Caenorhabditis elegans: one gene and its partner. The protein of the gene in region 1 purifies or fractionates together with the protein of each later gene. This does not show direct contact. Each region holds a gene or a part of one and is shown in the gene's direction. Other genes may lie near its edges.

Region 1 (5,052 bases):
GAGGAAAAGATGAACGAAAAGGATTAGTATGGGATATTGTTGAGGCGATTGAAATAGTTTTAAATTTTGATGAGTAATTGAGAAACGAATACAGTTATTAATTCAAAATATTTGAAAGTTAAACGTAGAGTAGTGCCAAACTTCTCAACATTTTTTAACTTTGAACTAACTTTGAACGGAATTTTCGGCTTGAACTCTAATCTCAAAATTGAAAAGTTTACTTTTTTGCCATCTATTCCGCAATAACAGTAAACGTGAAATTATTCACACTTTTTTCCATCTTTATATACTCTCTCGTTCATCTACCAGTTTTGTATTGTCCATTCGTCCATCACAAATTCCCATTCATCCCGTCATCTGGTGTATTCTTTCCGTTTTTGATACTTTTTTGTCTGTGCCCTGGAAAAGAGTTGGATGGAAAGAGAGAGTGAAGGAAAACGATGGAAAAGAGCAGAATTAGCATAATTATGACACTTTTTCTCTCGCCTCTTCCCTATTTTTCTCAACCCCGCGCTGCTCGAATGAGAAACGTCTCGAATAGGTTTTAAAGCTTCAACTTTTTACTGTTCTAATGTTTTCATTTATTTCCAAGAATTTAGTTGATCATTCACGATTCCCATGGCTTAGGTCAAAAATTAGAAATACTTTGCGGAATTCTATCACAATGCAGTTATATTTTCACATTTTTAGAACTTGTCCTAAAATACAAGAAGTTATCTTTATTTTCAACATCTGGAAAAAATTCGTTTTCAACATCTAAAGCGACAATTGGAAAATTGTCAATTGAAAGTCATTTAGTTAGCGGCTTACATTAATACAATTGTTTGGTTAAACATATTTTTCAAACGCCCTCAAAAGTCCAAAAAGCACTCGATATTTTGGAGATTAGCAAGCACGGCATAAAAGAAACAGCAAAAAAAGAAAACGACACGTGTCATATATTTGGCTGAGAAAGTAGGGATTAGAGTGTCGAAGAAACATGACAAATGAATTGGCATTCAGAAGACGTGCATACATGGCACGACATATTGCTTCGGGAACTCCTTACACTGCATTTTTTGGTTTCCTCAATGTATATTTTGTTTCACGATCAGTCTCCGCTTGTTGTTCTTTTTTCTTATGCTCCAGTGGGAAAAATGTTAAAAACTACACCTATAGTGCACCCATGATGAAAATATCATTCTAACACTTTCCAACATTTTTTGAAAATGTTATATTTACATTAATAGCAATTAATCAGTTTCCACCTATCATAATTGGTCCAATACATTGTTTAATTTTAAGTTCGCTTCAATTATTTACAAGTGAACCTAGAACCTAGGTCTTCGCATTTGCAGCATTGCTCTAAATTAATGAAAAACTCCAATTTTTTTAATTGGCAATTTACCAACATTTTCATTTGAAAGTATTTTATTTAGATATAATAATAATAATAATTTATTACGCTCGCTGGGAGACGTGAAGGAATACAGAATACAAAAGTTATCATTGTTCGCTTGTACTAGAATTGGTGCAGTCGGGCAATTGTTTCCATTCCATTAGAATGTTGTCCTTGTCCTTGCGTTGTCCTTGCGTAGACTCCCCCATAGTGGGCGAGCGATTCCCGAGTGAAAATATGTAGATTTTTAGATATGTAGATATGTAGATATGTAGATTTTTTACTACATAATTGTAAGTCTGTGTAGATTCGAACTCCATGTTGTGTTACAGTACTTCCGAACACGATCTTAAAACTTTTTGAGCATCTCCCATTTTCTCATTTTAGGAAAAAATTTAACTTATAACTTCGAGGTGACAATTGTTAATTCTAAATTTTCCCACGTTAACTCTCTCTCTGTCTGCTTCTCTCTTGTCCCTCTTCTTCATCGCTCTAATTAATTCGCGTGTGAGACGAGAGAAGAGCATCCAATAATCCATGTCCTTTTCCCGCTTCCTCTCTCTTTCCCTCATCTTCCTATCTATTTTCCATCGGACCATGAACAATTCTGTTGCAGGATGTCATCTGAAGCAGTAGCACAAGCCACAGCCGCCACGACGTCTCCTGAACACGGGGTCCCCACATCATCGGCCACGCCTACTCCTCCGCCGAGCAAAGGGGGTGGAGCCGGTGGTGGTGGGGGAGGAGAGCAACAACAAGTCCCATTTCGTTAGTTTTACAAGAGATTTTGAATTAAAGTGTAAACAAATATACCAGACTTCAAGTTTTTTGAGTGTCATTTTTCAAATTTAGATGGTGTGTTTAAATATTCCCGGATCTTCAAAAATCTGATGTTTAGATATTTGAAAAAGCAAGACAAAATCAAATCAGTTAAAAAAAATATGAAAAAAACACAATAACACAGAAAAAAGGCTCTGAAATCCAGATAGGTTCAGTCTGATTTGCCAGCCCTAGTAAGACTATATTAACTTTTCGTAAGGAATTGCTCCTTCGTTTTGGTCAACCTTTCCTCAAATATTTTCACTCGAAGAATAAGAAAAAATAGAGGGGATATTATTGTTTTTCGAACCTTCTCGATTAAAAATTCCCTGTCTTCTCCTCTTCTTCTTATTTTTCCCCGCCGCCGCCTGACCACAAAAATAGGCTATTATTCATATGGCTGGACGTCTTTCATGTTGCCTTCCCTACAAAAATCTATTTTACACGGAAGTATAAGAAAATATTTTAAATATATTGCACTAGGAAACTTCTGTGCACAGAATGAAAATGTATGACATTGGTTATTTATATTTGCTTACTTAACACAATTAAAATAGGAAAAGCTTGTTCTTCAATATATTCGATTTTTTACAGAAATGATCCCTCCTGGTCATTTTTTCGCAAATCCCTTCTTGAATCCGTATATTCCAACAGCGGGTGCTCCTGCTCAGGAGGGTGAAGCTCAACCTCAGATGGTATTCTCTCCAGCTCAATATCAGGAAGTCATGCATCATTATTTTCAACAAATGATGGCCGCGAGTGGAGCACAGTTTCCGATTCCGTTTCCCATGCAATTTCAGCCGGCTCTTCAACAGCCAAGACCTTCTTCTCAGGTTTGTTTTATAAAGCGTTATTTTACAAAAACAATTGAAACACTGTCAATTTTTCATTAGAAGCAGTTTTTAAAACTGGGGTTGATAAGCTTTAAAAAAATGAAGGAAATGACATTAGTCATCAGAAAATGTATGTTTCGCAATTTTGGAACATTGTTGTACAACTAGAAAAGTTGCGAAATTTATTTTTGCAGAAAGAACTATTTTTAGAGCTCTCGAAATTGTTTTATTCACAATAAAAACATGTGAACTGGAAAAACCATATAATTTTCTGATTTGGCGAATTTGCCACAATATAATAACCTAAGACATTACATGCTTATTGGATGTTTGATGATGCATGGCTGACACCCGCTCGAGGCGTGTGAGAGGCGCCTCCGTCACTCTCTGCCGGCTAGAAATTCTAATTTTGATGTAACCTAGTCAAGCTCACAAGAAGTTCACAAATTCTTATTACAAAGTTATGCTTCTGCATTGATGCAGAACAGTATTTGATATTTCTAGACATTGAAATAGATCTAGAAATATATTACCAAAAGCAATGCATTTATGGCTCCCAAAATTCTCATCTGCACTTCATAACCTTCAAGTATTCTCAGGCATCATCATCTCATCGCTCAGAAGACGATAACGGAAGGCAGACAGCTGGCAGTGTTGTGTCCTCTAATGTGTCACCAAATCATCGAGAGGTTCGTTTACGGCAGAGCCCAAACACTTGAACTCACAAGCAAAACGCTGGAAATTAGGCGAAGTGATGACTTGGGGAGCTTCTTCATGTTCTTCCTGTAGCTCTAAAATAAATAAATGTGGTTCGGGAATTTAAAAGATAAAATTTTAAAAAATGTTCATTAAAATATACTTCTAGTTTAGAAATCAAACTCAGTCTTTAATTTTTAGGTGAGACCAGCAGAAGATTCTACGGAAACAAGCGGCGTTGTTCAAAATAATGGTTAGTTGGTTTTTCACTTTTAGAAATTCAGGCCAAATGCCAGAAGATCAGTCATTATCTCAAACGTTTGGCGTACAGTTTTCACAGAACGTATTAAGTTTCCTTCTTCGTCTAGTGGAATGTAAAACTCCAACTTTAAAAATTTCGAATAAATTGCATTTTCCAAAAGTTCTTCAGAAAATCTTCAAAAAAGATCCAGCATGTATCTCATTTGTCACAAGTGAGCATGTAACACGAGAACATTTTGGTGAGAAGAAGAGACAAGAGAGATATCTCTGCGTCTCTTATCATCTCACACTCTCTCTTTTTGCTCAGCCGATTTACTAATTGTTCCATGTCCGAAAGGAGTTGTACGTCTCCCACCATCATGTCTGGACGGAACTTAGAGACCACACGAAAAGTTGAAGGGATTTCCCCTGAACATTTTTCTAATTGTCAATTTTCAAACCTAAATATGTTTCAGATGAGCTTCTTGTACCAACTTCCACGTCATCCGATGTGACAATTGGTGACGTCATCGAAAAATCAGATTCTCCTGAAAATTCGCAAGAATCAGCGGGAGGAGAGGAGAAAAGTGAAGAAAAGCGGAAATTATCCGGTGATCGAACGGATTCACTCATTCGAAAACAAATGAGTGAAATGGAAAAAGAGATAACACGACGATCACAGAATAAAAATATTAAAACGGTATGTCGTTCGGTTTCGGAATTTTGAGAATTAATTCTTGAAAAAAAAAAGTTTTTCACTGAAATCTATGATCAAAGTTCCTAAAGCCAAATGTGAAAAACTCAATTTATGGAGTCACATAGTATGCGCATAGAATGTGCAAGAAACCTCCAACTTTCCCAAAAATAACAACTGTTTTCGAATATTTGGAATATGCCAAAACTTTGACACAAATTTTTGAAAAAACCTGAACATTTTTGGCTGTTGTTTTATTTCGATAGACCTTTTTTCTTTTAGACCTTTCTACATGTTTTGGCAAAATTTCCACTGGCGCTACACCACTTTTAAACAATAAGCATTAGACCATTAGAACTGTGAACTTTAGATATCGAGGCCAACAAAAATTC
Region 2 (4,624 bases), on another chromosome or scaffold:
AACGGAGATATGACCGAAACAATGGTGAAAATGTGGCCGAAAACACACCAAATATGAAAAGGGGAGGTGGGTGTGTGTGTGAGAAAAGGGGGGAGGTGCAGAAATTTTGGCAAAACTTTAATTATCGTTTTTAAAATAACGAATAGAGATATCACAATGAACTTAGATACAATGGATAGGCATTGAAAAGGAGAACTTAAGTTTCGAGTCTCAAACGTTTTGAACATAAACTCGAATTTTCCTTCAATTTAAAGTGGTTTTCGGCCAGTACTTCGGTGTGCGCAAAAACAAGAGGGTGTGGTTTTCCGCTTGTGGAGCCGACAGGATGCTCCAAAATCAACCCCCTTTTAGATGAACACACGTCGCTATACTTTGTGAATGTAGAGAAAAAAGAATTTCAAAAATCGGTTCCGTGAGAGCCGAGATATAAACGTTCAAAGTTGTATTACACATTTTTCGGACATTTTTTGAACATTTTTTGAACACCGAAAACGCGTGTGTGTGGCAAGATGGGGGTTTTAGGAAGGAGGCAGACAAAAAAATTTGCCGAACGGAAGAGCCTCTCGTCCCTAGTCTGAATCTCACTGTTTGAATTTTGTTTAGACATTTCCCAGAGTTTGGACATGAATCTAATGACGATTCAAGTATCGTTTTCATTTTTTTTGCAATTCAAGTTAAAACATAATAAAACCAATCACGAAAATGCCTCCTACGCATTTATATCAAATTATGACTCATTTGGTCTCCTTCAGTGGAAATTAGCTATTTAAAACGGTGATTAAAATGCTTGAAAGTAAACCAAAAAAAAGTCATAAATGTTTTGAAGTGTTTTTTTTTAATTTTTACGTCTGTTTTCTTTAAATAATTTTCCTTTAGACTTGTTTAGATTGCTAAAAATGGATTAGGCACATTTTCCAAAGTTCATGGCACAGCTATAGCGAATTGAAGTTACTAATTAGAGTTTTAATATTATTATTTATGAAACAAATTTTTTAAGAACACATATTTTCTGTGAAGAGTTCATTTTAAAATTAGCTATCCATTTGAATATTGTTTTACGATTGTTTGCCGAAAATTATTCCAAAAGTTCCGAGACTTTTAGTTTCTATAGTTCGGATTATTCTGAATTCTGAACTAAAATTTTCAAATGTACAACTTTTCATGTTAATTCAAAAAATGACTCGTTTGCGCTGCTTTTGTGACAGCTGCATATTTGAAACACTGATAAAACTACGTTTTTTATTTAAGTCTGCAAAAATTGAAGTTAAAAAAATAAATCTTTGTTTTGGAAAAAAATTCAGTATTAGTATTAAATATTTCGATTTTTAACTGTGTACTTTTTTCTTTTAAAACCCTCTTTTTTTAAAATTATTTTTTAAAATAATTTTTGTATTTAATAACAGATCAGGCAAACAAATTGTTAAGAATTAATAGAAATTAAACTTCTGAGCTGCAGTTTCAGATTTGTTTGAAGTTATTGAACAAAAATCAAAATTCCGAAACGTTAAGTTGACCTCTATTCAAAAAACAAACAAAACTCCCTCATCTAAACGTGTTGTTATGGTCAGTGCGCAGTGCGCAGGTGTGGATTTACGAGCGGCCGAGGGGTCGGGTCTCGACGGGAAACCCCTTTCGCCTGAGTCTCTGCCCCTGCATATCGCTACGTGGTTGACCGGCTGAGAGGGGGAAAGTGTTCACTGCATAGCATATTTCCGTTTTCATAAACCTTTTACGGTTTAAATTCATCAGTTTTAGCTCGTTTCGCTTCAAATTTCTCATTTTCGTCTCCTTTTTTTTTCGTTTTCTACTGCTCAGTTGTTCGTAAAGCGAGGAGAGACAATCGATGAGAAAAAGAGACACAGATGCGGCCCAAATGTTGCATTTCTCCTCTTTTCCGTGCCTTACACCCGTTCTCCTATCGATTTTTGTCCCTGCGTGGCAGTGACCACATCTCTTCCGTTATTTTGTCTCGTGTTCGTGTTCCTCTTGCGAGAAGTTTCATTTATAATTTTTTTAAAATAAAACTTGATTTAATTTTAGAAAAATTACAGAAAAATGTCGGACTTTGGTAATCCGTTGAAGAAATTCAAGCTTGTGTTCCTCGGGGAACAAAGTGGTGAGTATTTTGATTGAAATTCTACCGTAGATATTGAATTCTCAAGTTTCTAAATTTCAGTCGGAAAAACCTCCCTAATCACTCGCTTCATGTACGACTCCTTCGACAACACCTACCAGGCCACCATCGGAATCGACTTCCTGAGTAAGACCATGTACTTGGAGGACCGAACCGTAAGAAATCAGTTTTTGCGTAAAGAAATGATTTCAAAATCCGTAATTTCAGGTTCGTCTTCAACTTTGGGACACCGCTGGACAGGAACGTTTCCGCTCACTCATCCCATCCTACATCCGTGATTCTACAGTTGCTGTTGTGGTTTATGACATCACCAGTAAGTTTGGAAGAAGTTTTTCTGATGTTTCATGCTGTAAAGCTTCACACTGGATCCTCTGGGAGAAATTTTTTAACTATAGTAGTGTATATAGTAGTAACTATAATAACTATATTGGTTTAATACTACAATAGTCACTGGCAGCTCTAATGCGAAAAGCTTCTAGCAAGAAGAGAAGCTCAAAAAACAATTTATATTGATAGAAAAGTTAGAATCCAAAAGGAAACCATTATTTTTTGTTTAATCTTGATTTTGAACTAGGGTGGGCAATGAAAAAACTCTCGGTAACGACAAAAAAGCTTCATTTAACCCCAACTTTTTTGCAGACTCCAACTCTTTCCATCAAACTTCCAAGTGGATTGACGACGTCCGTACTGAGCGTGGAAGTGATGTAATCATCATGTTGGTCGGCAACAAGACCGATCTTTCCGATAAGAGGTTCGAATGAGAGTTTCCGCTAAAAATTCAATTAAATTGTGTAGTGGAAACGGCGGAATATGCATTTAAGTAGCTCCAGGCTGAAGTTTTAATCGGCATAACTTTCAGTATGAAATCTTGGCTAGCTTAAAACCTTCTCTAAAGATATTGTTTGGAGATAGGAAATAGCTTTAACTGAAATTACGTTAACATAAATTGGATCTGCACTAACTTGAACTAGCTTCAACTGGACCTACCTCAAGTTTATTTTTTATAATCAGAGCCTACGCTTTTCAAGCCCAAGCTCTCTATCTCCAGCTCATCCTTAAACACAATTCAGTTGAACCTACTACATAAGCTACATAAGCTGAATCTCCCATAATTTGATTTTTCCTGAGCAAAATCTACGTTACATTAGGCTAAAAATGCGCATTCTAAACAGAATTAGTTCAAGCTAAACTTACCTTGCGCTGGCCTGTTTCGAGCTGATCTTGCGTGGTCTTAGCTGAACTATCTTTTTCTGAAACCTGTTAACCTAACTAATAAACTCAATGTGTAATGCTCCAGGTCTATTAATTTGTAACTGACATAAGACTTACATATTTTGTTCAGGCAAGTCACCACCGACGAAGGAGAGAGAAAGGCCAAGGAGCTTAATGTGATGTTCATCGAGACTTCTGCCAAGGCCGGCTACAATGTGAAGCAGCTTTTCCGTCGTATCGCCGGAGCCCTACCAGGAATCATCAAGGACGACCCAGTGGAGCCACGTAAGTTTTAAAAACCTTTTTAACTTCAAAAAGCCATGATTTTTTTCAGCAAATGTGGTCACGATGGACCCAATCCGTCAGCGTCAAATTGTCACCGACGAGGGATCGTGCTGGTGCTAATCTCTTTGTATTCCTGAGCAAAATGTCAAAAAAAGGTTGTGATACTCCAATCTCAACGCATAATTTATTTAAAGCATCCTCCGCCCCCGTAATGGTTTTGTCATGAAGAAATATTAATTATCCCCCTTAAAAGCGCTATCGCCAGTAAGTTTTGATATCTTAAAATTCCCCAAAAACATTATCGATTTTTTCTGTGTGAATGAACTCTGAATGGCTTCTTCTCTATTAACTTATGCGATGGTAAACATGTGTAATTTTCTTTGTAACATAATAAATTATTATTATTTTAAATTTTTTGCTTCTTATTTTTGCTTGGCTAATTTTAAGTGTGATAATGATTTTTTTTTGTTTTCATTTTTACTCTCCCAACATCTCTGTTCTCGAATAAATCTTCTCCGCTTTTGGTGTTAGACTAGCAGCAGTAGATCACGAAAAATGATGGGGAGGTGGAAGAAAAGACGAAAAGCAACGCAGTTTTAATCAAATATTGACTTTGTGCTTTTCGGTTAAGAATGAGCTGCTATCCTGAAAAGCAACACAATGAGGAAGAGCAACATATTTGGCCCGGAAAGATATATGTGAAACGTTGAAGTGAAGTTGGTGGAAATAAAGACAAAAAATTCATAATGTTGTTCAAAAATCGTCGTTTGCACATTGTAGATTTTTGATGAAACTAGCCCATTTTGGAATAATTTCAGATGTTTAAAAAAAAAAAGTCTTTCAGTTAAATAGCTACAAGTTCCAGATTCCAATTCAGTTGTTTCAGTTCAAGATTGTTAAAATTTCTTAAAATTTGTTCCGCTCAATGCCGTGCGGAAAATATCGGTACGACGACACGAAAACGGGCAAAAGTACTTGTACATTTTAGTGACG

The links.
Region 2: the proteins of lin-10 (region 1) and rab-6.2 purify together in Caenorhabditis elegans (affinity purification with western blotting, with the first as the bait; one study listed by BioGRID). This does not show direct contact.

What each region holds. Positions count from the first base shown.
Region 1 is NC_003279.8:8,116,257-8,121,308, reverse strand, and holds the start of lin-10 (Protein lin-10), read left to right. Parts: upstream 1-1,994; 5' UTR 1,995-1,995; coding exon 1,996-2,146; intron 2,147-2,791; coding exon 2,792-3,030; intron 3,031-3,629; coding exon 3,630-3,719; intron 3,720-3,927; coding exon 3,928-3,979; intron 3,980-4,442; coding exon 4,443-4,666; intron 4,667-5,052. UniProt on the Caenorhabditis elegans protein: Required specifically for the determination of 3 vulval precursor cell fates P5.p, P6.p and P7.p during late second and early third larval stages; required for basolateral localization of receptor tyrosine kinase let-23.
Region 2 is NC_003284.9:17,220,424-17,225,047, forward strand, and holds rab-6.2 (Ras-related protein rab-6.2), read left to right. Parts: upstream 1-2,051; 5' UTR 2,052-2,055; coding exon 2,056-2,116; intron 2,117-2,176; coding exon 2,177-2,289; intron 2,290-2,341; coding exon 2,342-2,447; intron 2,448-2,773; coding exon 2,774-2,885; intron 2,886-3,476; coding exon 3,477-3,631; intron 3,632-3,680; coding exon 3,681-3,751; 3' UTR 3,752-4,042; downstream 4,043-4,624. UniProt on the Caenorhabditis elegans protein: The small GTPases Rab are key regulators of intracellular membrane trafficking, from the formation of transport vesicles to their fusion with membranes.